Linked DNA regions of Lonchura striata. The protein of the gene in region 1 interacts with the protein of each later gene in a pairwise test. Links are inferred from orthologs where the notes say so. Each region holds a gene or a part of one and is shown in the gene's direction. Other genes may lie near its edges.

What was found.
Region 2: the proteins of KHDRBS2 (region 1) and HNRNPR interact in binary tests that used the Homo sapiens proteins (3 or more experiments, as listed by UniProt). The link is inferred for Lonchura striata from reciprocal best matches to the Homo sapiens genes KHDRBS2 and HNRNPR.
Region 3: the proteins of KHDRBS2 (region 1) and RNA-binding protein 3-like interact in binary tests that used the Homo sapiens proteins (3 or more experiments, as listed by UniProt). The link is inferred for Lonchura striata from reciprocal best matches to the Homo sapiens genes KHDRBS2 and RBM3.
Region 4: the proteins of KHDRBS2 (region 1) and hemoglobin subunit pi interact in binary tests that used the Homo sapiens proteins (3 or more experiments, as listed by UniProt). The two-hybrid records come from large-scale screens. The link is inferred for Lonchura striata from reciprocal best matches to the Homo sapiens genes KHDRBS2 and HBZ.

The regions. Positions count from the first base shown.
Region 1 is NC_134605.1:88,486,020-88,493,874, forward strand, and holds the start of KHDRBS2 (KH domain-containing, RNA-binding, signal transduction-associated protein 2), read left to right. Parts: upstream 1-4,841; 5' UTR 4,842-4,910; coding exon 4,911-5,001; intron 5,002-7,855. UniProt on the Homo sapiens protein: RNA-binding protein that plays a role in the regulation of alternative splicing and influences mRNA splice site selection and exon inclusion. Binds both poly(A) and poly(U) homopolymers. Phosphorylation by PTK6 inhibits its RNA-binding ability.
Region 2 is NC_134628.1:5,309,154-5,316,606, reverse strand, and holds the start of HNRNPR (heterogeneous nuclear ribonucleoprotein R), read left to right. Parts: upstream 1-4,377; 5' UTR 4,378-4,446; coding exon 4,447-4,521; intron 4,522-7,453. UniProt on the Homo sapiens protein: Component of ribonucleosomes, which are complexes of at least 20 other different heterogeneous nuclear ribonucleoproteins (hnRNP). hnRNP play an important role in processing of precursor mRNA in the nucleus.
Region 3 is NC_134638.1:985,626-992,909, forward strand, and holds the start of RNA-binding protein 3-like, read left to right. Parts: upstream 1-4,251; 5' UTR 4,252-4,318; intron 4,319-4,926; 5' UTR 4,927-4,994; coding exon 4,995-5,097; intron 5,098-7,284. UniProt on the Homo sapiens protein: Cold-inducible mRNA binding protein that enhances global protein synthesis at both physiological and mild hypothermic temperatures. Reduces the relative abundance of microRNAs, when overexpressed.
Region 4 is NC_134618.1:4,397,649-4,404,807, reverse strand, and holds hemoglobin subunit pi, read left to right. Parts: upstream 1-4,550; coding exon 4,551-4,645; intron 4,646-5,586; coding exon 5,587-5,791; intron 5,792-6,324; coding exon 6,325-6,453; 3' UTR 6,454-6,593; downstream 6,594-7,159. UniProt on the Homo sapiens protein: The zeta chain is an alpha-type chain of mammalian embryonic hemoglobin.

The DNA.
Region 1 (7,855 bases):
AGTCATAGCATAAGACAGAATTTCTTTTATACCTGGAACTCACACTGAACTCTTCTAGGGTTTTAGGTTCACTGAGTTTATGAAACTATTTAATGTCTTGAAAGGAAATAAGTAAGTAATGATATATTTTTTTAAGGGAAGCTGATTTATTTGATTTTTATAGACTAATAACTAATCTGTAAAGAATGTGTCAATTTAAGAAGCTGTACGAGTGAAGAGACCAAAACCCTGTGGAAATCAGTGACTTACCGCAGATATCAACTATGTCTGTGTTGGACCATATATGGCTGAGTCTTCTGCTGTGCCTGGGATAGTCTGAAAATGATCTGCTGATGCACATTTGCCTTCTGGATTATCCAGCAAGCTGTTGGCCGTGTGGTAGTCTACAAGGCTGGCCTCTACAAGGAGAAGGTGTAGCCACTTCCACCTGGACCCACCATTGCCCAAAGCCAGTGCATCAGCACTCAGTACATCATCTGAGTGCTGTTACAAGGAAACAACTTTTGTGCATGTTCAGTTGTCCCATGATCAAACCATGAAATCACCAGGTACAAGAACTGGTATCCATAAGACAGCATGAAGAGATCAGATGGAGCCTGGGTATAGACTGTATTCAAAGAAGGAATTAAATAAACTATAGTAAAGAATGTGGGGGCAATTCCTTCTTTTTTTGCACATGCACTGCTGCCTCTTTGTTAGATATATTGTCTATTATAATTCTACTTTCAGAGACGGAGATGGTTACTTAGATTATAGAAGAAAGTCCCTATTTTTTTTCTTTTTTAATGCTCATCAGCATTTGGTTCAGGAACCAGATAACCCTTACTCATAGCTAAAGCAAATGAACCAGTAAAGAAATTTCAAAGCAAATTGAATTTCTGAAATACAAAACTCTTGACTATTCTGATTTTTTTGATGTATGTGGTCCTCTGTCTACTCCCACACACATAGTTAACTATTCATTTAAATTATTGTATCAACTTTATTGCGAGGTGTCAGAAGGGCAGCTCATTCTAATTGAGCTCACACTGACCATTCATTCTACTGCAAATTCTTAAAAGATTTAATAATTTTTGAATAAGCAAATGCAAGGTTTGGGGTTTTTCTTCAATTGCTTGGATCCACTGCCTTTTGACTTCAGTTCTACATGATAATACAATGTATTTGGATGGCACTGGCAAGAATACATACTGATTTTTACCTGTTCTGTCTTTGAATAAACTGCAATCTGTTATGCTGCGATCCATTTCATTATCAGACTTAGCATTAAAAAATATAGTACAGATAAACTTCAATTTGTCTTGACACTTCAAACTAAAGAGTTGTAAAATGTGTCTTTGGTTTTTAGTAGCGCTGTGAAAAAAATTGATCTCCAACTAGCAATGAAGTCATGTTTGATGTCATTAGAAGTCTATATTTCCTGTCTGACAGATTTTAATGCCTTTTTTTATTTTTAATGAGGTATAAGGTGAAATTCAGAAAGGTATCTCAGTGGCTTTGCAGCCTAAGTATCACTGAAAGTCAATTTAACTTTATAAGTTTTCACAAATGAACTTACACAGAACTTGTTTCTGTCTAGTTTGCTGTAAAAATATGTGTAATGAAACCTGCTGTCTACCTCTTTGACCAGAAAAAAAAGAGTTTAATGAATTTAGCACTTCCTATTGTTTAAAAAATTTAAAGGTGTGTAAGTCAAAGCTTCCTGTGATCTAAGTAGGTTAAGTACAATTAAACAGACTAAAGTAGCATTATTCCTATAACACCCCAGATGGAAAACACCCAAAATTCATTTTCCGTATACATGCCCATATGGTATGTCTTGAAAGCTACCAGACCAGGATTACTTCTGGGGGGATGGCTTACATTCAACTTGAAGTTGCTTTAGGAGAACACACCTATCATTGGCCTGCTGTCTTTCTGAACTGTGGAGCACCTGCCTGAATTGTTCTGGAAAACAGAAGTGCAGAAATACAATCTGATGACACAGGCAAGCTTTTGAGCAAGACAGACCTGAGCTGTGTTGCAAACACCACTATTTCTTCCTACGCTGTTAAATGGGAAAGGAGAACTATTCATGCAGTAAATTGAATCAGGGTAAATTATTAATAAACTATCTGAGTTCTGCGCTTTTCTTTGTTTTATTTGTTTGTTTTTTAAAGAAGGACTTATGTCTTCCCTTTATCCCCACACAAAATTTGTAGTAAAAGCTGATTGACTATTAAACCTTTCAATTCTGCTATCAGTCTTCTCTGCTTCCTCAGTGTTTTATAAGTTTGCTGAAACCAACTATTTTCCTGCTCCTATTCTTTCTCAGCAAGGAGATTTGTTCTCAGGTATTTTATTCCTCCCTTCTAGAAATACTACAGAATAATAAGGCATCGGTCACCGACATTCTCTACATATTTTTGTAAACACGTGCTGTCCCTCAATTATTTGCATGCCGAGTGGAAATTGCGTAAACGTTGCCTGCACATATCTTAGAATTTTGAAAACATCGCACATCAAATCTTTATATAATGTCTGTACAACACATTCAAAACCTTGTGGATGCCATTATAAAGATTTTACTTTGATTTTTATCTTTTTCATTCCTTCTTCCTCTGCCAACTCCCCCCAACCAAAACAAAACCACAAAGAAAAAGACCCCAAAATCTAAATTCCTCTACAGCAACAAAAATACTTGAACAGTACTAGGCCATTCACAAATGTATTATTGCAACAACTGTCTATTTCATTAGAATAAATACTAAGATAGTAGTATTAGTGGTACATACTAAGAATGTGACATAGGGGTTGAGCACAAAATGTTGTATGGTGCCATAGACTGCTTGTTCTTGAGGTCCCACAAATGGAATTTTAATGAGTTGAGATGACTTAGACATATTTGTTTACTTTCGAAATCAAAACACATTCCTGTATGGTCTGTTGGGGCAAAATCCTGAATAAATATAACCTAAAGTAAATGTATACTTAAAGCTAAACCCTAATTAAAATAAATTTTATTTACCCAAGCTGTAGACACTTTAATTGCATAATAGTTCTAATTCTGTCAGGCGTGGCCGTGGGAGCTGCAGCACGGCATTCCTCGACAGAGATCGCCCTTTCCACAGGACCCCCGGGCCCCGGCTGCGCCTCTCCAGCTGCGCACAGCAGGCACGGGCAGACATTTTCGGCGCGGTCTGTGAGCGGCGGCGCCCGGCCGCTGATGCTCATCATACCCTCAGGGGAGAAGCTGCCTGGCAGCTCCAGCACGGCCACGCCGCCGATGCGGCACCGCTTTAGCGAGGCGTGTCCCCGGACCGCGGAGGGCCGAGAAGCCCGGGGAGCGCGGCGGAGCTCGGGGGAGGCACCGCCGGGGAGGGAAGGGAGAGAGAGCCGGGCAGAGCCGCTGCCTCCCGGCTCCAGCACCGCGGACAGCGCCCGGCGGGCGGGCGGGCGGCTCACGGCGGGCACGGAGCCGCGGCCCCGCGCAGGGACACGGCCACTGCCAGCACATCACCGGCGTGCACGGGCAGGGCGGCCCACGCAGCGACACCGGCGGCACAGGCACGCTGAGACACGCGTGGACAAACGAGCACAGGGGCACAGACACCACCGCCAGGCTCACAGAAAGCACCGCAGCACGGCCTCTCCCGCGCAGCCCGCTCTCTCTCACACACAGTCTCACACAGGCGCGCACAGTTTCACACACACACACACACACGCAATTTCACGCACGCACACACGGTTTCATACACGCGCGCACAGCTTCACACAAGTGCACGCCCACACACACACACAGTTTCACGCACACACGGAGTTTCACACAAACACACACAGTTTCACACACAAACACGGACACGTGCCCGCTCTCCCACAGGCGCAGCACCGGCACAGCCGCACACGGTCACGCGTGCGCGCACCGGCACCACGGACGCCACTCACGGACACGCACTCGCGCTGGCACGCAGAAACTGGCACACACAGCTGCACGCAGACAGACACACAGACAGACACAGCACACACACAGTGACAGACGCACAGACTGTCCTGGTTCCTGCCTGGACAGAGTTAATTTTGGCCGTAGCCGGGAGGGGACATGGCCAGGACCCAGAGGCTGTTCCGCTATCACCTCAGGTCATTGCCGGTGCTGGACTTAGGGGGGAAAGAAGTCTCTTCCTTAAAAAAGGGGTTCCTTCTGGTTCAGTAAGCGCGGGGTGGGTGCGGCGAGGTAACCTCGATTCTAATCATTTTGCATGAGAATCACTTATCTCTCTCGAACACTTTTGTTTTTAATATAATTGCTGTTACTGCTCATTTTCTTATCTCATTGCTGTTTCCAGTAAATTGTTCTTATTCCAACCCGTGATCTTTACCTTCAATTCCTCCAATCCTCCTCTCTAGCCTGCCACGGGGAATGGGGAAAGGGTGGGGAGAGCGAGCTGCAGCGTGGTTTTAGTGGAAGCGGTAAATTAGGTAATACCAGTCCTAAACCACAACACAGACACAGACACACGCAGGCGCACACACCTCCGCGGACGCCCGCCGGCCGCGGGCCCCGCCTGGCGACAGCCAATGGCACGGCGAGTCTGCCCCCGGCGCGGCGGAGCCGCCAATGGGAGCGGCGGGGGCGGGGCCCGGCTGGCTCCGCCTCCCTACTTAAGGCCGCGGGTGGCCGCGGGTCGCTCAGTGGCGGGAGGAGGAGGCGGGGGGGCGAAGGCGCGCGAGCAGCGGCGCGCGGCGACCCGCGCACGTGCCCGCCCCCGCGCGGCGCGAGGGGAAGGCGGAGGCGGGGCCGGGGCAGCGCCCGCCGCGCGAGGGGCGGCGGCACCCGCGGGGCGGCCCCGGCGCGGCCAGCGGCGAGCGGGCGGCCGAGGGCGCGGAGCGGCGAGCCCGGCATCCCGCGCAGCCCGCCCGGCGTGCCCGCGGCGATGGAGCAGGACAAGTACCTGCCCGAGCTGATGGCCGAGAAGGACAGCCTGGATCCCTGCTTTGTTCACGCGATGCGCCTCCTGGAAGACGGTGAGGCTCCGCGCCGCGCTCCCCCGGCCGGGGCGCTCCTCGGGGTGGGCTTGGCGGCCCCGGCCGACTGACAGGGAGCGAACTCGGGTGTCCGGGCCGGTGGGCGGCGGAGCGGCCCGCGGCGGGACCCGGTCGCGCGTGGGGTCGGGGCGGCGGCGGTTCGGGGCTCGGGCGCCCGGGGCCGCCCCGGAGCCTTGCCGAGGGACCCGTCCGGCAGCAGCCGCCGGCGGCCGCAGCGAGCGCCCCGCTGCCCGCCGCCCGCGCTCGCTCCCCGCCGCCCGCGCTCGCTCCCCGCCGTGCGCCGGCGCTGCCGCGGCTGGGTCGCCTGTGCGGGAGGCGCTCCCCTGGTTCCCGGGCTCACTTACACAAAGACAGATGCTGGCGTCTCATTGCATTCGTTATATCCTGTTTTCCACGCTGAAGTAATAAGGTTTATATGGTGATACTATCATGCCGTTAATGCGGCGCTGTTTTTAGTCGACTGCGCGATGTCAGACATTGATTTGATATGGCTTATCAATTTCATGACAGTTTCATCCAGGACATGATGATTTCCTCTTGGTTTTGTGCGGAGATCAGAATACACTGGTTATAACATTTGGATACTCATTGTAGCTCGCCCTCCTTTCCTTGCTTTAGTTGGAGTAGAGTTTTAGTTGGACCTCGCCTAAAGGTTCTTTAAAAAGTTTATCATTTAGTCTCTCTTGTAATAATTGCTCAGTATAGCGGTTGCGTGAAGACCTCGTGGTATGGAATTTTAACTTTTGCCAAAAGTGTAATCCTTTAAGTTCCTCTTATACATGTTTTTCTTCTTAGATATTTAATAGTCTTTATAAAATCCCTGTTAAACTTGGAACCTAATGTTGAAAAGAAGTAGTAAAGAATGATGCATAAATCAAGACAACCTATTAAGTTTTTAAAAGAGATTAAAGCAAAGAAATATATGGTCAGGCCCCTGAGAGTCACACATTCAAATAAACTCAGAGGTGGCAAATAATTTCCCAAGTTCTGTTTATGACCTAAAGAAAATCATAACTAATTCAGATTTACCATGCTAAGCAGTAAGTGTTTTTCCTCTGTCAGCAGTTTTTATATTGTCTTTCCTTAATGTATGTTTTATTGATTGTGAATGAAGATACTGAGTCCAGGTTTTGTTGGAGTGCTTCTGTTTGATAGCTTTAAAATTCATACTGAATTTCAGTATGAATACAGACCCATTTAGTACCGTTTTGTCATAGCTGTCTTGCTGCTAAAGAGGCAGCCATGCTACTTTTTATAGTTGTTTTTCTTATAATCATACCATAAACTAAGTCCTTATTTCTTAGAGGAATGTATTTTTTGAACCTTGCAGTTCGGTCTTTTCCCAGAGGGGGGAAGTATCCTCTGAGAGTGTGTGTGTGAGTGTCTGGGAAAGGAGGAAAATGCAGGAAGGACAAAACCGAAAGTAGGCAAATAAAAGTAAAAGGAAAATTGTTTTTTCTAGGTATCAAGTTCATGTAGAAGTTGCATTTTGAGCAACTGTGAGATTGAATAAATGAACGATTTTCTCATTCCTTCTTGGCCTAAGTAGGACTATGCATTATTTCACTGGATTTTTTAAAAGATGAAGGTGAGTTGTCTGAGAGAATGCTAATGTCAGATTCACACCAGGTACCTGGCATTATCCTTCAAAACACCATCTGTCAAGCTTTCTAGACATTTGTTTTAGAGTCGAACATATGACGACTGTTAAAACACTTAACCATAGTAAGAATGTTACTACTTAAGAAAATTAAAATTAATGCACTGGTTGCTGCTGGGCATAAATAGAAAGGGCAGAATTTTCTTTTTTGAGTGCCAGAAGAAAATGGGATCCTGGTGCAAGGATCTCTGTAGTAGTGAGTAATTTCTAGGTTATATTAACGATGAAATATTTTTTCCAGACTCTGGATTTCTGTTCTTTAGAATGTAACGTGCAATCAGCTACATCCCTAACGATACCAGCCAGGTGTTCTTTTTATGGTGTCCTAAGCATTTTTGATTGCCAGCACACTTTGTATCAAATACATAAGTGTAGATTTGCTTTGGAGCTCAGAGCCTCAAGCATTCAGTCTGACTTGAAAGTGCTGTGTTGTTTCATATTGGCTGCTAAAACCCAAGGTTGAGAACAGTTGTGTTCCTGTGAGAAACCGCAGAAGGGCACACAAGCAATAAGTATTCCAGAAAAATGCTTCTCATTTGCAAGAGTGGATTTACTTGTAAAGATAAGACTACCCATTTTCCCCCAATAATTTCTTTTGTTTGTTTGAATCTGTTGCGTGGTCTTTCTTTGTTTGTGTGTTTTGGTGTACTTAACCAATATTTACACCAACATATTTCTTATGTTTTCAATATGTGGGTCTGTGTCCTTCAGGTTGACCTGTTTCAGATGCATACTTCAATCAGTAGCTATTTATCCCTCACCATTAAGTGATGACTAGAAATCACTTATTTTAGTCCTTGCCTGGGTCTGGTATAATCCCCAGAAAAGGGACATTTCCTTTGGCAGACTATTTACATACATGCCAAACAACAGAAAGAAAGGTAAGGTCCTAATGAAGGTAGAAGGTACTAGTGCTATTTAAATACAAAGTGTGGAGACAAAACCTGATTTCTTTAAAAATCCCTGAGGGAATCTGTTGTGGATTCTAACACTGAATGGCCAATTGAGTGCCTTAATCAGAAGATACTTATTTCCCATGGGTCATAGCCCGTTTCATGTAGAAGTAGATCCTACATGACTGTTGCACTATTGGAAATGGAAAAGTCATTGGTAAGTCATCTACTAGGAGGACTTGTGAGTGGCTAATGATATTTGCCTCACCCTAAGTTTTTT
Region 2 (7,453 bases), on another chromosome or scaffold:
CCCTTGGGGCTGCCCTCACCTGGTGAATATTGCAGGTAGTGGCACATTTATCTGCAGAGTGAGTGACACCACTGTCACTCTAATGTCCTTAAACCCTCTTCTTCAATGAATATGTCACCCATGTGATGAGCCCTGGAAGAGAGGCTATGGAGTGTCCTTGCCTGGCCATGCTCAGTCTGTGGTGTGGTGAGTTCTGCCAAGGCTGTGTGCAGAGCTTCCTGTGGGCTTTGTTCCTTTTATTTGGGGCTAATTAACAAATTACAAGCACCCTCCCCACCTCTCTGAACCTGGTGAGATGAACTGAGTCATGAAAAGCAATATACTATTGGGTTTGGGTTATAACTATTTAAAAATCCATTTTTTTGCCTTTTTCAGAATGTTTTTCCAGGGTTGGCTTCCCCAAAAGTTGCAGAGTCACTAGTGAGAAGTTTGGCACTAACAGCTTCAGTGAACTGTGGAGAGCTGACATAAATATTAGGCCAACTCTGTATTCAGAAAGGAACAGATGAGGGTTTAAATTCACATCTCTGGGTTTTATTCTGCATTTTGGTGTACTAACTATGCCATGTAAACTCAGCCACAGAGCCTCTGCCCAAGCACCTGTAAGGGGGAGGATTTGCTATGAGACTGGGAATGCAGAGATTTGGACCTTTGTACCACTGCTGAATTCCCTCAGGGCTGCAGTGTGCAAGTCAGTACCTTGCTACACCACAGAGCTTTCTTGCCCACCAGCAAATGACATGAACATTTAAATGACTTGCAGCAAGCAGTTTGGGTTCACTCACCACTTCCAGGGCCTGTGGATGGAGAGATGCCAGCTACAGACTGTTTGCTGCAGGATTCCAGAGCAGGAATGCCGGGGAGTAAAATAAGATTATACCTCAGACTGGGTGGTTGCTGGGGAGTTAAAAAGGCACAAGTTGTCAAGAGACCTTTCCAGGATTCCCCCTCAGTCTGTGCAAGCTGGAAGACAGGGCTTAGTTTTCTTTTGGAAAGCAACAAACATCTGCCATCTAATTCTGGTTCAGAGCAACCAAAACCCAAAGCTGATGTTTGAAACAGGTAAGGCTGCAAGGATAGTGCTGAACTCACATCACAGGCCACAGAGGGACTAATTGTTCTGGGTTTCCTCAATTGCTCTGGAATGGCTGATGGCATGACTAGTCCCCTGCTTTGTCCCCCAGGCACAGGGGTACACAAAGGAAGGGATTCTTCTCTCTTCTCTGCCAGAACTGGTGCATCTTGATTATTTGCTAGTTCTTCAGGGTTGGATTGACCCTATTCACAACACCCTGACTTCCCATAGCCACCTACAGTGCAGCTCCATGAAGAGTTTCACTTCTTGGAGCAGATGCTTATCCTTAACACCAGATCCTCTGTCTGTACTGTGCTTCAAAAGATCACAGCCCAGCACTACTTAGCTACTGCAGGAGAAAGAAAAGTGCAATTTATTTTCAGCTAAAACTGAGCTGGTGATTTTTGCTGCAGCAAACAGAAGCTATTTCCCAAGTTGCTTGGTTTCTGCTGCATCCTACACAAATGTGATGGAAATTGCAAATAATCCTTGGCTCAGGGGTGGGGGAAAAAAATGAAAAGAAAGGAACGTGAGATCCAAGATCTTTAGCAAGCTGGTTTTAATGCAAGGCACCCAGGTAGCCCAGTCTGGTCTCTTTGGGCCTTTTTGTCACACTCAACCTTCCCACTCCAGAGCAGATAAAGGGAAAGAGGCAAGACAAAGACAAAGCACATGTGTGTGTTTTCCTAAAAATCAACTACACTGCCTGTGTGAGGCAAAATAAACATATGTGCACAGGGTAATAACAGTAGCATGGCCTCTGCAGGCAGAAATTTTTCTGAGCATTTCCCTGTTGTAGAGGTCGTGGAACACACTGAGGGCGCTCAGAAAGTTTCTTACTGATAAATAAAGCTTGAAGATTTTTAAGACAGACCTCCCCCTGAAAGCCTGGGATTTAGCAAACATGTAGGAGCTGTTCTCTGAGAGCTCCAGAGAACAAGGTATTTACTGGAGGTGGGCACATCTGTAATATATCATCCATTATATGCTGCACACTAATGATTGGTCAGGGTAAGAAGTCTAGAGCATCAGGAAATGTAATATTCCATCTATAAGTTAACAGCTCACCTACAAATTACATCAGATTCAACTCTGTCATCTTGCCATTGATGTGGAACACCCAGGAATTTCAGCCCAGTGTGGAAGGGAAGCGACAGACTGATGGGAACACGCTGAGCTTCAGCAACCTCTGGCCACTGAACACAGGAAAATGCCAACAAGTTGTAAGTGGAAAAGCTGGATCCCTTCACTTTGCTCTGTCCCCAAAGGGGTGCTGAAGGAGCAGAGCAGGGCAGCCTCCTTGCCAGGCAGGCTCTCCCTCTGCATGGTCAGGGCATCCTCCCCTCCCAGCTCTCAGCAGCTGAGATTAATCCTCTCCTTGGTTCCAAAACAAATTTATTTTGTCTTGGCCCAGGACTAAATCAGATCTTGCATGTACCTGTTCAGCTCCCATCACAGAGAGCTGTAACTAGTCGCATTCTGGGATTTTCTAGCAAAGATTAAAATTGAGAAATCTATCCAAAATTTAAATTACATCATCTCAGAGCATCTAGGGCCTCCTCTCAGGCATTGCTTGCCGTCTGGCACTAACCCAAATACCTGCAGGCTATAGCTTCTTCCTGGCTAGAGGTGTCAGATCATTTTGGGCTGAGGCTGTAGTGTGTAACATGAGACCAAAGAACAAAGCAGTGCAAAGCACACATAACCTAGGGTGGGAGTTGCTAGAGATATTCCGGAAATTATTCTCAAGATACATTTTGCTTATTAGCCTCATCATGTTCAGTTGCCAGCTGACAGGACATATGTCATTATACTTCATTATTCATTCCTAGTTACTATATTATAAAATATTTAAGAGCTTTACAGGACATTTTTAAGCACCCCTAATAATGTTAAGTTCCCTCAATTCCTCTCAATATTTGTATTGTGAGAACTCCTTTAACCCATCATTCTTAACTACCAGAAAAAAACACTGCAGTGAACTGGGATGGACAAGGCAATGAATGATTACCCCTCTTTCCATCTCTACACCACAGTAGACCCAATACCCAGCACTGAAAAGCTGGCTCTACTGCCAGATCTCAAGAGGGAAGTCACTGAGGCACTGCCAATTCTACAAGAGAAGCAGCATGTCTGTCACCAGACAGGTTCAGCAAGACAGACTGAACACCTCCAGAATCTGTCTCCAGCTTCTGACTTGGAAACATTGGACATAACATACCACATTTCCACAAGTCCCACATCACCAGTGGTGGGACATCACACATACGATAGTCACCACACAGACACATGCCATCTTTAGGAAAGTAATTTTGGGGTGAAAGTACTGAAGATCCTTCTCTGAGAATACATGAGCTGTTACTTTTGTTAGATTCCAGAGGCACAGTTGCATCTGCACCAGATGCGACTGTGGTTTGCACAGATTCCAGCCGCACAGTTGACATGACCGTAGGAACACGTGCAGGTGCTCTGGGTTTAGTTTCACACAGCACTCTGGGACTCAGCCTGACCCAACCCAGCACACATTGACTTCCACGTTATGCAACAGCATGACAAGCACGTGAAGCCGGCCCAACACCATCGGTGCCAACAGGCTGATGTCTTCCTCACTTATCTCTTTATTGTGTCCAGCCGGCACTCATCAAGAGCCTGATCAAGAAAATCTGGTGAGCAGGCAAGTAAGACTTAATCTCCGGTTAATTACAGATTAGCAGCTGTAGAGCTGTGTCCTGAGATAAGCCTGACCCGTAGCTCCCGCAGCCGCATGGCTTCTCCTCCTCGCCTCGGGCCTGGAGGGCATCGCGGCCAGCCCCGGTCCGGGGGCTCACACAAGGCAAAGGCTCGGAGAGAGCGAGAGGCCGCAGGGGCGGACAGGGCCGCGCCGGGGTCCCGGGCGCGCCGCGGGGAACAGGGGCAGCCGCAGCCCCGGGCGCACCGCGGGGAGCAGCCCCGGGGTCCCGGGCGCACCGCGGGGAGCAGCCCCGGGTCCCGGGCGCACCGCGGGGCGCACCGCGGGGAGCAGCGCCGGGGCAGCCCCGGTGTCGCCCCCTCAGCCCCGGTCCCGCCCTGCGCGCGGGGCGGAGCCGAGCGCAGCGGCCCCGCGCGCTCCCTTTGTTCGGGCCGCGGGAGGCGCTGCCCCTTTAAATGCCCCCAGTCCGGCCCTACCGGCGCGCCGGGTGGAAGGCGCCCCGCGATTGGTTACGGCGCCTCCCTCTCATTGGCCGCCCGGAGGAATGGCGCGTCCCGCCTCTCGCATCTCATTGGCTCTGCCGGCTGCCCGTCCGCAGCGCGGGTTTCTGAGTGGGCGAAGCAGCGGTCCCTGGAAACAGTTCCGGGAAACCCCGCGTGCTGCCGGGGTCGCGCCGCCGTCCATGAGGAGAAGGAGGAGCGCGCGCCATTTGCCGTCGCTGCTTGGGCCCGAGCTGCGCCGCGCCGGCCCCGCTCCGGTGAGTGCCGGGGCCGCCCCGCGGGGCAGGGGCGCTCCGCGGCCGCGCCGAGCGCTCCTGCGTGGGCCCCGCGAGGGGACGGGCGGCGCGGGTTGCGGGCAGGCCCGGCGCGGGCGGGGACGGGCCCGGGGAGCTGGCGCGGCGGAGCGAAGGGGGGCGGGGGCCATGGCGGGGCTGCTCCACGGGCAAAGCGGGCGGGCGCGGGCGCGGGAGCGGCGCCGGGGAGGGGCCGGGGGCGGGCCCGGCGGGTGGGGGTGGGGGGCGGCCGGCCCGCTCCGCCCAGCCGTGCGGATCAGGGTTGCATGTGACGGGCGGCCGGGACGCGCCTCTCCCGGGGCTGTGGGTCGGGTCGGGTCCCTGCTCGGTCCCTCCGGGCTCTTAAAGCCGCAGCAGCCCCGGCTGTTGCGGTTGTGCGCGGTCCGCTCTGTCCGCGGGCGCAGAGGAACGCTCTCAGCAGCGAACGCGTCGCTGTCGCAGCGCGCCCTTAGATCTTGGGTAGCGCATGATGTGCTGGAGCCGGCAGGGACAGCTGCGCCCACCCGCAGCGCTCGGCTCTGCGCTTCCTACTTCCACGGAGGGAATAACGCTTGTCAAGTGCTTAAAGGGGAAACTAGCCAAAGTTTTGTTGTTCAGACGTTGTTTTTCTTGAATTAACTTTTGTCGAAAGCCTTTACTAAATCTTGAAAAGTTTTGTTTAAATGCATCATTGTTGCAAATACTTTAAAAATAAGACTTTATTTACTCGGTCTGAACAGCCTTGTTACCTGTCAGTATTTGAACATGCTACTTAAGTACATAAGCTGTGCTGGACTACTCTTTTTGAAACAGTGTGTTGGCTTCCCTTTCCCATGTTTATGGCTCTGAAGGATCTCACCGGCACTTCGTGCTGCAAAGGACATTAATGCTCATGAAGCTGGTGCTTCGGTTTTTTGATTGGTTGGGTTTTTTCACTTTGAGACTACACTTTAGCATAGTTTTTTGTTTTTTACTTGTAAAAGTAATCTAATGAATTTTGCATCTCACAGTGTTAGGTGTTTTTGTAACCTGTGTAAAATGTAGTGTTTGCAAACGAGCAGTGTCTGCTTGAAAATTTTGCTTCCTTGAAATTGTGTTTCCCACAAGCATTGCATGTCCTTATTTCTCAGTTTTTCTAAGTGAACACTGTTGAAATAATACTCGAGTCGCCTGCTGGCACTTAAGTTCCTGGTTGAGTCAAAAATCCCAGTATTCCCTGCTTTGTTAGACATCTGCAAAATTCTTTAAGGATAAATTCTTTAGAACAAAGCTCATTTCTTTTGAAGTGTTGCTTGGAACTGGAGTACTGAGAGTGTTGTTTAGTACAACTCGGACAACCAGATGAGCTATGAATAGCCAACTCCAGTGAGAAATGAGCATGGGCAGACGGTTTAGATTAGCAAAACAGAGGAGCTATTGGTGCAGTCAGTGTTTTTTAATGGCACTGATGGGCGCGTTGCTAACTTGCTGTGCTAAAGTCATCTCCCAGTCATAGTTGTGTGGGTACTGGAAGCAGAGTTTGTTTCTCTCTGGGCTGTGCTGGTCCCTTGCTTGGCATTGTACTGGAGGTTGTCAGATTTTTCCAAGGGGCTGTGGAGTGAGCAAGGCTGAGCTGGAGAGGTGAGGGTGCCAGCTGCATTTTGGCTTACAGGTAGTGAGAAATCCTGGCTATTCTGTGAAGGTCTTCAGGCTGTGTTTACTTCAAAATAAGGTTTCATGTAATTCATGCCAAAAAACACCTAGCATATCATAATTAAGTTATTAAAAATGTGCTTTCTGTGTTTGAATAAGATATGGTATAAAAGAAATGGCTAAAATGCCTTTATGTACAAAATAAAGGGCCCACCCTTTTGTACATGCCTTTGTGTACAGAAATATTTCTGAACAAGTGAGGTTTTAATAAAACCCCAGTTCAGATTTTAAATGTGAATTCTTATTTTCCCCCCACTTGTATATTTATCTTCCTTGCTTGACAAGAACCTTCTTGATGTGTGAGGCATAACTATAGGGACTGCATTTGTTCCCTTGTGGTCAATTAAAACAACAAAACCAAACAAATGTTCCTCAAACTTCCTTCAGTGTTATTTTTAACATGATTTAACTTAACTGCTTAACACAGATAGTGTATTGATTCGGAGTAGCAACATAAGTGAGTGGAATGACTTTGGTGCAGAGTTTTTATGGATGCATTGGTTGGCTTCCTGTGCACCTGAGCTAAGCAAGTCCCATTCCTGCATGAAACTAAGCTTTCAGCAGCAAAACCAGTATTGATGTGTAATCACTGAAGTTTGTTGTGGTCATTTTAGATATTGTCCTCTTGCCAGAAATTTTCTGTTCCTTCTCAATTAAGCTGCTCCTAAGCATGTTTTGAGTTAACTAGACTGAATTTATAATTAATTGGATGGAGTTATACTTAGATAGTCTGTAGGTGGCAACCTCTGTTAGAGGCATGGTATAAGATAAAGGAAATAGTAACATCATGGCTGTTTATCCAGTGATTGTCAGATTAAGGCTGTGATCAGGTATCTCTTTTCAAGATGCCATAAACCTTGAGGACCACACCTCTGTTAATTTTTTTGTTTTCCAGAAAAATAACTAATTGAGCCATATAAGTTATGAAACACTGGAATCGCCTGTAGTTTTAACTTCCTACTTGTCATATGAGAGCTTAAAAAGGGGGCTAGTAATTTTGTAAATTACTCTCAAGATGCAGGAATTTTGGATGAAAGATAGTGAACAGCTAAAACCATGCTTTTTATCATGAAGTATTTACAGTTTTCAGCAAAGCATTGTTTGCAACAGCAGTGTGAAACTTGAAACAAGACCTCTCCCGGTGTGCAGTTAGGAGGTGTGAGGGTAGGCAACATCTTGGGCAGGAGTGAGAAATCTCCTTGCCTATGTAAAATTGTCCCCAATG
Region 3 (7,284 bases), on another chromosome or scaffold:
AAAATCTGAACTTCAAAAATCTCTGAACCTCAAAAATCCCTGAGCCCCAAAAATCCTGAGCCCCAAAATCCCTGAGCCCGGAAATCCCAAATCCCAAAATCTGAACCCCAAAATCCCTGAGCCCCGAAATCCCAAATCCCAAAATCTGAACCCCAAAATCCCTGAGCCCCGAAATCCCAAAATCTGAACCCCAAAAACCCTGAGCCCCGAAATCCCAAATCCCAAAATCCAAACCCCAAAAACCCCTGAACCTCAAAAATCCTGAGCCCCAAAATCCCTGAGCCTCAGAATGCAAACCCCAAAATCCGAACCCTAAAATCTCTGAGCCCCAAAAATCCTGAGCCCCAAGATCCCTGAGCCCCAAAATCCCAAATCCCAAAATCCTCTGAACCCCAAAAACCCCTGAATCCCAAAAAAACCCATAAAACCCAAATCCATATGTTGAACCCTGAGGTTTTTTAGTGTGGTGATTTTAGGGTCTTTTGGGGGTGATTTTGGGTTTTTTGGGGTTTTTTTGGATGTGGATTTGGTGATTTTTCTGGGTGATTTGGGGGGTTTTTTGGGGTGATTCTGGGGGATTTTTCTGGGTGATTTTGGGGGTTTTTGGGGGAGTTTTTTTGGGTGATTTTGGGGTTTTTTTGGGGGTGATTTTGGGGTTTTTTTGAGGTGCTTTTGGGCTATTTTGGAGGTGGTTTTGGTGTGGTTCTTTTGGGTGATTTTTCTGTTTTTTTCTGGGGCGATTTTTGGGTTTTTTTGAGGTGGTTTTGGTGATTTTTCAGTGTGATTTTGGGGTTTTTTTGAGGTGGTTTTGGTGATTTTTCTGTGTGATTTTGGGTTTTTTTTGGGGTGGTTTTGGGGTTTTTTGAGGTGATTTTGTGGTTTTTTTGGGGTTTTTTTGGAGGGTTTCCTGACCCCTTTTTTCCCTGCAGGTTCTTCCGCCTTCCGGGTGCTCGACACCGAGTTCTGACGTTGAGCAGGTGAGGCCCCCCCCCAAAATTTGGGATCAGCCCCCAAAATTTGGGATCAACTCCCAAAATCCGGGATCACCTCCCCCTAAAATTCGTGATTAGCCCCCCAAAATTGGGAGGATGACCCCCAAAACCCCAAAAATGAGCTGACGCCCCAAAAATCCCAAAATTAAAAGGATAAAAACCCGGGAGAACCCCCTGGAATTGGGATCCCCCAAACCCGGGGAACCCCCCCCTGAAATTCGGGGTTCGGACCCCCCCAAAATTCATGGGAGGGACCCCAAAAAAAGGGAGGGATAAATTTTGGGGTGGAGTTGGGGGATTTGATCATTTTGGGGTCCCCTTTTAACTCTTTCCTCTCCCCACAGCCCCGGGATCGCAGCTGCACCCCAGGACCCCAAAATCCGGCCTGGGGTCACCCCAAAATCCTCCGAACCTTTGGGGACACCCCAAAAACTGCGGGGGGGGAGGGGAGGTGTGTGGGGGGGGTCCTTGGACTGGTGACCCCCCCCCCAAAAAATCCCCCCCTGAGGAATTGCTGCTGGATTTTGGGGGGTTCACGCGGGACCCCCGTTCTGGGGGGGGTTGGGGTCTCCCCATTTTGGGGTCTCCCCATTTTTGGGGTCCCCTCCCATTTTGGGGTCCCCCCATTTTTGGGGTCTCCCCATTTCTGGGGTTTCCCCATTTTGGGGTCTCCCCATTTTTGGGGTTTCCCCATTTTGGGGTCTCCCCATTTTTGGGGTCTCCCCATTTTTGGGGTTTCCCCATTTTGGGTCTCCCCATTTTTGGGGTTTCCCCATTTTTGGGTCTCCCCATTATTGGGGTCTCCCCATTTTGGGGTCTCCCCATTTTTGGGGTCTCCCCATTTTTGGGGTCCCCCCCCATTTTTTTGGGGGGTTCCCCCCCCTCCGGGTTTACGTCGAGTTTTATTTTTTCAAGGCAATATTGTAAAGCAGAGTCTATATTGGGGGGGTGGGCGAGGGGAGCTTACTCGGAGGTTACTCCTGCTTTACTCCCGCCGTGCTCGGGGCTGCGGCGTCTCCCGGGAGCTTCCTCGGCCAGGCCGGGCCCGGTTTACTCCGGGGTTACTCCGACTTTCCTCCGAGGCGGCTCCGGCCCAGCCCTGCCCTACTCCAGCCTTACTCCGCGGCTGCTCGGCCTCTCCTCGCTCTCGGCTACTCCCGACTTACTCCCGGTTCTTCCTCGGAGCCTCCTCAGCTTTTACACCGAGGCTGCTCAGGACTCGCTTCCTGCCCGGGCTTTACTCCGGGGTTACTCACAGTCAGCGCGGGCTCCGCAGCTCCTCAGTCCCTGCTCACAGCTTACTCCAGACGTACTCCGGGCTTCGGCGGCTCCGTACTCCAGCCGTGCTCACTCCCCCTTCCTCCGGCTCTACTCACTCCTTACTCACACCCACCTCCAGGTGCTTCGATCCTCCTGGCCTTTGCTCGGCGCTTACTACGCCCCTGCTCGGAGCTTACTCAGAGCTTACTCAGCCTTGACTTGGAGTTTACTCAGCCTTGACTTGGAGTTTACTCAGAGCTTACTCAGCCCCGGCTCTCCTCCGGTGTCCCACCGCTCTCGGCCTGCCCCGCCGTACTTGCAGGTTGCTCCGGCCGTACTCGCAGGTTGCTCCGGCCGTACTCGCAGGTTCCTCGCGCTCGCCCCGTGGTGGCCTTACCCTGCTCGACGCTTACTCCGAGGTTGCTCCGGCCTTCCCGGGCCCCACGCCCCGTGGGTGGGGCCTCCGCCGCCTTCGCTGCTCCAGCTTTACTCAGCCGCTACTCAGCCCCTCCTCGTGCTACTCAGAGGCTGCTCAGTCGCTGCTCCCGCGTTACTCGGCCTCCGCTCTCTGTTCTCCTCCGAGGATGCTCCACGGATACTCCGCCGATACTCGCCCTCACACTCGGCTCCTACTCCGAGGTTACTCAGCCCTGCCCAGGATCTTGGCGTTACTCAAGGGTCGCTGCGCCGCCGCTACTCAGAGGTTCCTCAGGCCCTGCTCGGGGTCACGGCCGGGAGGGGAGCGCTCCGTACTCAGGAGTTACTCACTGCGGACTCCGGGCTCGGCGCGGCACTCTGAGGTTACTCATGACTTACTCCGACACCACCCGGCCCCACGGCGGGGCGGACGCTGCTCCAGAGTTACTCACGCTCTGCTCCAGGGTGGTTTCACTCCAGAGTTACTCACGTTTTACTCCAAGTGGGTGTTCTACTCTGCGGTTCCTCACAGTTTGCTCTGCGGTTCCTCACGGTTTGCTCGGGGGTTCCTCATGGTTTACTCGGTGTTTCCTCACAGTTTACTCTGGGGTTCCTCACAGTTTACTCTGCGGTTCCTCACAGTTTGCTCTGCGGTTCCTCACGGTTTGCTCGGGGGTTCCTCACGGTTTACTTGGTGGTACCTCACAGTTTACTCGGGGGTTCCTCACGGTTTACTTTGCGGCTCCTCACAGTTTACTCGGGGGTTCCTCACGGTTTGCTTGGGGGTTTCTCACAGTTTACTCTGCGGCTCCTCACAGTTTACTCGGGGGTTCCTCACGGTTTACTCTGGGGTTCCTCACGGTTTACTCGGGGGTTACTCCCAGCCCGCCCCCGATGGACGCCTCTCCCCGCTCTGGCTCCTCCGGGCGGGGTTTTACTCCGGGGTCACGCCCCCCTTACTCTGCTTTTACTCCGAGGTTCCTCCCCCTCCCCCCCTCACTCAGGGCCGCCCCTCCCCCGCCCGAGGGGGCGTGGCCTCGCTCAGTGGGGGCGTGGCTTCTCTTCGGGGGGCGTGGTCTCTCTGGCCACGCCCACCTCGGGGCGCGGGCGTTGTAAGCCACGCCCCCTCTTGTGACGTCATGGGAAAGGGGCGGGGCCGCGGCGTTTCGGCTGTAACGGGACCGAACCATTAAAGGCTCCCCCGGGGACGTGAGCGAGTGCGAGCCCCGCGGCACCGGCACCCCAAAACTGGCCCGGGACCCTCCCCGGGACCCCAAAATATCCCCGGGACCCCAAAACTGGCCCGGGACCCCAAAATATCCCCGGGACCCTCCCCGGGACCCCAAAACTGTCCCGGGACCCCAAAACTGTCCCGGGACCCTCCCGGGACCCCAGAATATCCCTGGACATCCCCGGGACCCCTCCCCCGAAAACCCCCAACTATCCCGGGACCCCCCGCGCGCGTTCCCCCCCCCCTCCCCCGCCTCAATGGTCTCTTCCACGCGCCACAGGGGGCGCGGCCCGAGCGGGCAGCCAATGGCGTGGCGGCGCGGGCGGTCACGTGGGGGGCGGAGCCGGTTAAAAGCGGCGGGGCGGGGCGCGCTCGGCCTCAGTCCGGGCCCGTCCGGCGCCGCTCGGGGGAGGCTCGGGTGAGGCTCGGGGGAGGCTCGGGGGAGGCTCGGGTGAGGCTCGGGGGAGGCTCGGGGGAGGCTCGGGGGAGGCTCGGGGGAGGCTCGGGTGAGGGTCGGGTGAGGCTCGGGTGAGGCTCGGGTGAGGCTCGGGGGAGGCTCGGGTGAGGCTCGGGTGAGGCTCGGGTGAGGCTCGGCCGCTCCTGTCGCGACTCCCCGCGCCGCTCTCGCGGCTCCTGTCGCCATGAGGGCGGCGCTCGCTGCTGCCCCCGGGGCTCTCCCCCGCTCTCCTCCCCTCCCCCTCCCCTCCCCTTCCCCTTCTCCTTTTCCCGCCTCGCCGCCCTCAGGCCCGCGCGGGGTTCTGCGCATGCGCGCGGGGGCGGCGGGAGCGGCGCTGCCGGGGGCGCGCGCACGTGGCCGGGCTGGGGGAGGGGGGGGAAAAGGGAACCACGTGAGCCGTGACGTCACGGGTGGGCGCCGCGTGACGTCAGCGGGCAGCTGGTGACGTCACGGGGTTGGGGTCTCCCAAGATTGGGGGGTGTGACGTCACTGGAGGGCGCGTGGGTGATGTCACGGGGGGCGTGACGTCACCGGGCGGGGTGGTGACGTCACGGCCGCGCCGCGGGCAGGTCATTGCGTCACCGCAGGGGGCCGGGCCCCGCCCTATGACGTCACGGCCAGCCCCGCCCCCCCACGCATGGCGGCGGAGGAGGGGAAGTTGTTCGTGGGGGGCCTCAACTACGACACGGACGAGCAGGGCCTGGAGCAGCACTTCAGCTCCTTCGGGCCCATCTCCGAGGGTGAGCCATCCCATAATATCCTGAAAACATTCCCAAAGTATCCGAAATGTACCCCAAAATATCCCAAATGTACCCAAAATATCCCAAACGTGCCCCAAAATATCCCAAATGTACCCAAAATATTCCAAATGTACCCAAAGTATCCCAAATGTACCCAAAATATCCCAAAATACCCCAAATGTACCCAAAATATCCCAAATGTACCCAAAGTATCCCAAATGTACCCCAAAATATCCCAAACGTGCCCCAAAGTATCCCAAATGTACCCAAAATATCCTTAAAATATCCCAAACATATCCCAAAATATCCTTAAAATATCCCGAACATATCCCAAAATATTCTAAAATATCCCAAATGTACCCCGAAATATCCCAAATATACCCAAAATATCCCAAAGGTACCCCGAAATATCCCAAAGTCTCCCAAATCTATCCTAAAATATCCCAAAATATCCCAAACATGGCCCAATGTATCCCAAAATATTCCAAAAATATCCCAAAAGTGCCCCAAAATATCCTAAATGTGCCCCAAAATATCCCAAATGTACTCTGGAATATCCCAAATGTACCTTAAAATATCCCAAAATCTCCCAAATCTATCCCAAAATATCCCAAAATCTCCCAAATCTATTCTAAAATACCCCAAAATATCCCAAATATGGCCCAATGTATCCCAAAATATTCCAAAAATATCCCAAAAGTGCCCCAAAATATTCTAAATGTGCCCCAAAATATCCCAAATGTACTCTGGAATATCCCAAATGTACCTTAAAATATCCCAAATTTATCCCAAAATATCCCAAATGTACCCTAAAATATCCCAAATGTACTCTGGAATATCCCAAATGTACCTTAAAATATCCCAAATTTATCCCAAAATATCCCAAAATCTCCCAAATCTATTCTAAAATATCCCAAAATATCCCAAACATGGCCCAATGTATCCCAAAATATTCCAAAATATCCCAAATGCATCCCAAAATATCCCCTGGGCTCATCCCCGAGGGTGAGAACCAAAAATACACCAAAATCACCCCAAAAATATCTGAAAAATATCCCAAAATATCCTAAAACATCCCAGATGTGCCCCAAAATATCCCAAAAATATCCCCCCAAATATCCTTAAAATATCCCAAAATATCCCAAGAATATCCCTCCAAATATCCTTATAATATTCCAAACATATCCCAAAAATATCCCAGATGTGCCCCAAAATATCCCAAAAATATCCCCCAAAATATCCTTAAAATATCCCAAAATATCCCAAAAATATCCCAAAAATATCCTAAATGTGCTCCAAAATATCCCAAAAATATCCCAAACGTACCCTAAAATATCCCAAAAAAATACCCCGAAATATCCCAAAAATATCCAGAAATGTCCCCAAAATATTCCCAAAAATGAACTAAAATACCTCAAAAATACCCCGATAAATCCCAAAGTATCCAAAAATTGCCCTGAAATACCCCAAAACCACCCGGAATTTTTGGGGATATTTTGGGGATTTCTGGGGTTTCCTTTGGGAGTTTTTTAGGGGTTTTTTTTGGGATGTTTTGGGGCAGTTTTTGGGACATTCTGGAGATATTTTTGGGCTGTTTTAGGGTGTTCTGGGGATACTTTTGGGGCTGTTTTTGGGCTGGTTTTGGGGATATTTTTGGGGATATTTTTGGGGATATTTTTGGGGATATTTTTGGGGATATTTTTGGGCTGTTTTAGGTTGTTCTGGGGATATTTTTGGGGCTGTTTTTGGGGATATTTTTGGGGATATTTTTGGGGCTGTTTGGGGTCCTTTGGGGATATTTTTGGGGTGTTTTTGGGTTATTTTTGGGGTCCTTCGGGGATATTTTTGGGGATGTTTTTGGGGCTGTTTGGGGTGTTTTGGGGCTGTTTTGGGGTGCTTTGGGGATACTTTTGGGGCTGTTTTTGGGGTGTTCTGGGGCTGTTTTTGGGGTGCTTTGGGGATACTTTTGGGGCTGTTTTTGGGGCTGTTTGGGGTGTTTTGGGGCTGTTTTGGGGATATTTTGGGGATATTTTTGGGGCTGTTTTTGGGGTGCTTTGGGGATTCTTTTGGGGATATTTTTGGGGCTATTTGGGGTGTTTTCGGGCTATTTTTGGGGTGCTTTGGGGATACTTTTGGGGCTGTTTTTGGGGTGTTTTGGGGATTCTTTTGGGGATATTTTTGGGGCTG
Region 4 (7,159 bases), on another chromosome or scaffold:
CCCATGCCCAGACCCCCAGCCCCTCCGTCCCCGGGTTATCATCCTCATGGAAAGGGTGGACAGGCACTGGAACTGACCAGGGCAGTGGTGGAATCACAATCCCTGGAAGTATTAAAAAAAAAATGTGGATGTGGCATTTTGGGATATGGTTTAGTGGTCAGCTTAACAGTGCTGGTTTAACCTAACACCTTAGAGTGTGTGTGTGAATAGGAATTTTTCTAAGTGAGCCATGACTCTTCTCATTACACTTTCCCTGCTCTTTTTTCCACATCAGCAACTTTCTAATAGCAACAGGGAAGAAAAGAAGAGCTCCATAAAACAGTATTAAACAAGGAGGCTCGTTGGTAATTAGAGTGGGAATGGAGATAAAGAACACTGGGTAAAGCCTGCTGCAATGCCTCTTTGGGACATTTCAAACAGTTTTTTTAAATAACATTTCTGCCTTTCTGGAGCTAAGTACACACATGCCACACACTGAGCAGAAGGCTAAATTAATTGGGAGAACAAAGGTAATTTGTTGTGGATTGGAATGAGGCATGGATGCTTTTTCCCTAGTGGGAGAGGAACTGGTGACCTCTCCTGGGTTTGCCATGGGCAAAAGATGGGATGCAGGAGCTTCATGTGCATCTCCACCCTCCCTGTGCCAGCCTGGGTGCCACTGAGGGTGAATTCACTGGTGGAGAATCCCTCTGTCTTCCCTTCCAGTCCCTCTCCATTCTTCCACCATCTGGCAGTAGATTATTTCCATCAGAGCTGCCAAATCCAGCGTGTCAATATTGCAGATGAATGATTGCAGAGGGCTTTTCCAACCTTAAGGTCTCTGTGACACCAGGGTGGCTGCAGGGGGGCAGCTGTGGAAGTCAGAGCTGTGGGCTCCCCATGCTCATGGAAAGGCTGGCTTGGGCTTGTTGCTCATGTTCACTTCACAGCTCTGCTGCACCCTGCCTCATGGTTCCTGTGCTTTTACTCCTGCCTCTGGATTAGGAAGGGTGACATTACTCCCCTGGCAGCAGTCTTGGTGCCTTCATATTTTTTTGTGTTTAATCGAGATCAGAAGTTATCAGCAATTATATTTGAGGATGCCCTGGGGTTTTCTGCAAATTCTTCTGTATTTCATTGCATTCCTTAGATGCTTGGACACTCTGAGATATCCCCACTCTGGGTTTTGCTCTGCAGTCCCTGCAGGGACACAGGACAGAGGTGGGTGGCTGAAGAGGGAGATGAGCAGCCCCAGCAGGGTGTAATCTGCAGGGCCATTCTGCACAGGGCCAGTGATAACAATTGAGCAAGAGAAGGCGATGCTGAGGGGAGAGAGTTGTCCTGGGGTGATTAAAGACCAGTCGTGTTATCACAGCAGAGCACTCCTTGTACACCAGCACTGGGCTGTCATGTTAAAATTTCAGTGTGCCAGCTTCAAAATATAATTTTACTTACTTAAATAATGAATTATAGCCCTATCTGTCATTTCCAGCTCCTGCACATTTAGTTGTAGTTAGCCTTGTCATTTAAAGCAATGATTGCAAGTTCTTCAAGCGCTGGTAGGAAATTAAAGAGTAAAGCCAGGATTTAGACTCCACTTTCCAGACTTTCAAAATGCAATATGCCTCAAATATTTCAGAGTTAGAGCAGATATATGTCCTCCCTTATTCACAGCATTCTCCTTGAGGGGAAGGCAATTCCTGTGGATAATACAGGCCCATGGGGAAAGTTGTCCTTGATCTCACAGTGATGCCATTCAATTGGATTTACAATGAGGGCTGTTGGAAATGAGAATCCCACTTTTACAATTAGCTAACAGGTCTGTTGCTTGCTTCTGCTTTAAAATGAGAAACTCTGGTAGCTGGCTTTTGGAACAGATTTTAGATTTAAAAATACCTACATCCATTAAAAAAAAAAAAATCCCCTTTGGTGATTCTCTGACAGATTCATGACATGCCCAAGGGTGGACATTCTGCAGTGGAGCTGTGGATCTTCATGAGAAGCAGCAGTAAGGGAGGAAGACAGGGTTGGGGGGCTTCTCAGAGGACATCTTCTCTACTGGTCCTGTGACACAGAAGCAGCAGCAATCAGGCTGTCCAGTTCTTTGCATTCCTGAGGCCAGGACCCCCTTGTCTCACTACCCCATGGGTAGCTGCAACACTGTAATGAGGAATTTGGCTGAAAGGTTCATGCAAAGCCGAGCCATTTTCCATGTCATGTTGTGCTGAGGATCAGACTTCTCCCACCGGATTTGTTCCTGAGGAGTTTCCACAACAATCCCCAGCACAGCTCTGATCCTGAGTGAGCAATGAGCTCCTTCTAACAAGCTACTGTCCCCTTTTGGCTGCTCTGGTTTTTGAGATAGTGCAGGAGTAACTCTCAGAAAAGGGTTTCAAATTCCATAATGATTTCAGTGATGATGAATCCTCCTGTGCAGACATCACTCTGTGCACTCACAAACCTTAATCCTGCCCAGGTTACACAGGAGAGGAAGGAGTCCTGATGGTCTGTGCCTTATCCCTGTGTTTATCTGGGTCACAGCTTGGTGGAGTAACCCCTGATTAAAAGCACTCTCACTGAGGAGAGCTTGGAGCACTGCCATGCAACACGACATGTAAGAGGCAGTACTTTGGGGAGGAGACAAAAACATTATGTAAATGGATATTTCACAACAGCATCTATATTTTGGAAGTAAATTTTCTATGGGAAAACTGCAAGTTTTGGAAATGTGTGTAGCAAGGGATGATGAATACCACCTTTCTTGGTACTGCCACCCATTTAAGTTGTATAAATTGAATACCATGTTGTCTGTGCCCTGGCTCTGCCTGTGTTGTCAGTGGTACTTTGAAATGGAGACTGCACTGCTCTGCATCAGTGTAGCCAGAGTGAGCTCTGGGTTTTCAGGGGATATGTATGGCAGTATCAAAGGGAAGGTATACAAATAGCCCTCTGATAATATTCCCTGTGGTAAAACAATTGTCCTCCTTGTGTCTCAGGTGAGTCTACTTTCATATCCCCTCTTAAAGTGAGTGAATTACCCAGCCACCCAGCCCTTGGTCAGAAGGACTGAGGAGGAGCTGTGGCACTGAACACAATCTGAAATTAAATCCCAGAGGAGTTGTTGGCCTCCACAGAGGGGATGATAATTCAAGATCCTCAAACCCAGCCAGGCCTGCATACTCAGAGGCCCAAGTGCTTTGTGCCTGCCTTTTGGGAAAGCCCAAGGTTTATTCTAGTTTGTGTGACAGATGGCATGCAGAGAAGCTTAAATTAGAGCCCAGTGCAGAGTATAAGGGGTGGCTCAGAGTCCTTCTGCAAGTGCAGGGCTGCTTGGGCAGAGAATGTTATCTGACCCCTCTGACTGTACCAGCCAGGGCTCTGTGCAAGCTGCCAGCTCTCAGTGGTGATGGCTGAGGCTGCTGAAGTTTATCAGTGTGGCAAAGAGATTTACCTCTGCTTTATCTGCTGGCAGGATAGTTACTCCCAGAGGTTCTGCAGCAACCATCTCCAGTAGGGTATTTCTTTGACACTTTGCCCATTTACCTGTGATTACAGACCTGTGCTGGTCTCCATTTTGCTTGTTTGGTCCTTCACCCACCCAGGGCCCATACGCTGATGGTACCAGCCATCTGCTGTAGGACCAGGAGCTCTTGTGCATGTTCAGCACAGCACAACACAGCCAGCACTAACAGGAGTGCTGAGAGCTATTTTACAGTGCAGGGAACAACTAACAGTAAGATCACACAGTTAGAAATCAAAGATGTGCAGTCTGAGGATTATAAATAAAGAAATCTGACTGGGGTTTCTCTCACACACACATTTTTCTAGTACCATACTCAATTTCACAAACTCTGTATTCCTGTATCCAAAGTAATCCTTACTACCAGTGCTGTCATAGGCAGCAATTGTGAGTCCCTAATTCTTTGCAAGAAGCTGGCAAAGTGAAGTCCTGAAGCAAATGGCAGAATCTGCACTTACTCTTCAAAAATCAGAATTTCATTTCTCCTCTGAACTGCACTACAGATCTCCCAGCCCGTCCCTACCACTACCTACAAACCATTTTATGTGAAATATTGCACATGGTGCAGCCACATATACTGGAAGTGGCTGGGTCAGAAAGGCTCAGAGTCTTGTGTTCACATCTGTGAACCAAGGGAGGAAATGCAGATTCCTCTCCAGGCTCCTTAGCACGCTGCAGCCCACACGCTCCTCAGCTTAGACATGTGTCCTAATGCTTCACCACTGGACTTTTGCAGCATTATCTCTCTGTTCATGTATCAATACGTGTCCAGACAATTTCTTTGGACCACACAGCTGTTAGGTTAAGAAGCAAGAAGCTGATAAGGCCAGCAGGCAAGGAGGACAGTGTGCTGACCCTTGCCAGTGTAGCCATTGCTCCTCAGGAGATAAGTGTCCCCACTCCTCAGCGGGCCTCTGGAGTGACCAATGAGTGTGGACAGGCACCAAGCTCTGCTCCCCCCTTCCCCTTTATAACCAGGGCTGCCAGGTGGTGAGTCCAAACCTGCTCTGAGCTGCCACTGCAAGGGGACAGAGCCAGCACCTCCTGCACGATGACGCTGACCCAAGCCGAGAAAGCCGCCGTGGTCACCGTCTGGGCCAAGGTGGCCACCCAGGCTGATGCCATCGGGGCAGAATCACTGGAGAGGTAAGGCCCCAGCAGGCCTCCAAAGAGGGCTTTGCTTTTGGGATGCCTCTCATGTAGAACTTGGGTGAGTGAGAGCAGGCTGGGACCAGGGAGACTTGATGAAGAGTTGTGCTGTTTGATATGTAATCTCCAGGAGTTATAGCTGTGCTACTAAATGCTTCACAATCTGGCAGTAAAGCATGCTTTTTTAAACTATTTAATAGGGTTGGTTTTTTTTCTTATAGCCATACAGAAGAATTCATAGCCAGAAGCACTGGTGAGGAATACAAAGTCATTCATACTCAGTGTCCTGAACACCATTATCCCTGTTAGGGAATAAACTTTAAGTGGTTTATGGTACAAGTGATGCACTTTCTCTTGCAGTTTTTATGCATTTAGAGAATAGCTGTCCACTAAATTCACTGGATGCTCAGGTTTCATTGTTCCAGTTGTTAAGTAACAAACTGTTAGGAAACAAGACAGCTGGACCCCCTGCATGAAGCATGGCACAGTAATTCAAAGTCCATACCAATTAAACAAGCTGGTATAAAAGGTTCTGGAAATTATCAGAAATTCTTATGTTATTCAAACTGACTTAAATGCTATTTACAGCTCAATATATAGTATTATGATCCTCCTTTCAGGATTCTGAGTACCATTAATATCAATTCTGGTTTGTTAATTTTTGTTTGAAGGTTGAGGAAACTTGGTTATAATATAATACAGGAAATTTGGTGACAAGATGGGGCTTTTATTTAGTAAAAACAAAACCAAACAAAAGCAAACCCAAGGCTACACTAAGTTTTAAATAATTTTTAACACTTAATTCTTCTCTAGTACATACAGATAAACCTGCTGTCTAATCTGCATGTGCTGCAGAAGGTTTACACTGCACTTGTTCTGAGGTTTTACCACCTCATACCATTTCTAATGCTGACCCTCTTCATCATGTCCTCCTCCAGGCTTTTCTTGAGCTACCCCCAGACAAAAACCTACTTCCCTCACTTCGACCTGAGCCAAGGCTCAGCTCAGCTCCGTGGCCATGGCTCCAAGGTCATGAGTGCCATTGGGGAAGCTGTGAAGAACATTGATGACATCCGAAGGGCTTTGGCCAAGCTCAGCGAGCTGCATGCTTACATCCTCAGGGTGGACCCCGTGAACTTCAAGGTGAGTGAGCACAGAGACTTTCAGGGGTGGAAAGTGCCATCACAAAATTAGAGACCATAGGTCTCTAATGGCACCTTGATCCCTGACTGTGCTGCACAGTCGGTTTCTCATATGATTTTCAACCTGACATTGGGTCTTTTAATGGAAGTTCTGGCCCAATGCATGCAAAGAACTCCTGTGGTTTGTGTTCGACAGACTCAAATCTCTACTGGTTTTGCTGTAATTCAAAATTAATCTGCCTCATACATCAAGCTGTATCACCTGTCTGGAACAAAGTTTTAATAAATTATAAACAGTCCCACTTTGTTGCACTTGAGGAAGGGGCACATACAAGAGGGAGTGGGATCAAGCAGTGCCTTTGGCCCTAAACAAAAGACAACTGCACTTCTTCACTCCCATCTCAGGCAGCAGCACCGCCTGGTTGGGACATGTGCTTGTCATCCCTGAGCACACTGGGCCCAAGGTTCACTGCAGACCCTTACACTGATACCTGGTACTCACTGGGATGGATTTCCTGCTGCTTTCCCTTACAGCTGCTTTCCCACTGTATCCTGTGCTCCGTGGCTGCCCACTATCCCCGTGACTTCACCCCAGAAGTTCATGCGGCGTGGGACAAGTTCCTGTCCAGTGTTTCCTCTGTTCTGACGGAGAAGTACAGATAAATGACCTCAACAGAGGGTGAGGGAGGTCCATCCACAGCCCAGCCCTGCTGCCAGGCTCTGGGACATCACCCCTCCCTGGGCAGCTCTTTAAATCCCTGCTGCAGGGCCTTGGTCATCTGCAAAACCCAATAAATAATTCAAATGTGAGCCATGGTCTCTGTGCTTTCCTCTCTATGTGTTCTGCCCACACCTGATTGTTCAGGCAGGGGTGTTCTGAAATGTCTACACAATATGGAGGGCGTTTATAAAAAGTTAAAGTTTATAAACTTTATAAACTCATGTACTAATTCATATACCAATGAACTCATACTAATTCATGTGCCAATTCAGCGGGGATAACATAACATTCAGTGAGAGCAACACAGCATTGAGCAGAAGCCCAAAATGGGCTGGAGCCCTGTGACTGCAGCTGCTCACCAAGGTATATCCACCACAGTCTGTCTCCAGGCTGACCAGGGAAGAATCTTTCACCTGCTAGGACATTGAATGGACCCAGGCTTTTTGCCTGACCTATCCAAAACCCATCCCAGCCTACTGGGAACAAAACCTGCATTGCAATGCAGGGCATTGTCCTCTCATGCCTCTCTCCATGGGGTATGGATGTGGCATCTGATGTGTTTCTTCTGTGAGTTAACCCCACTGTGCAGCCACTGTGCCCCAACTCCCACTCACCTTCCCCCTGCAATGGGATGAGGTGAAGGGCAAA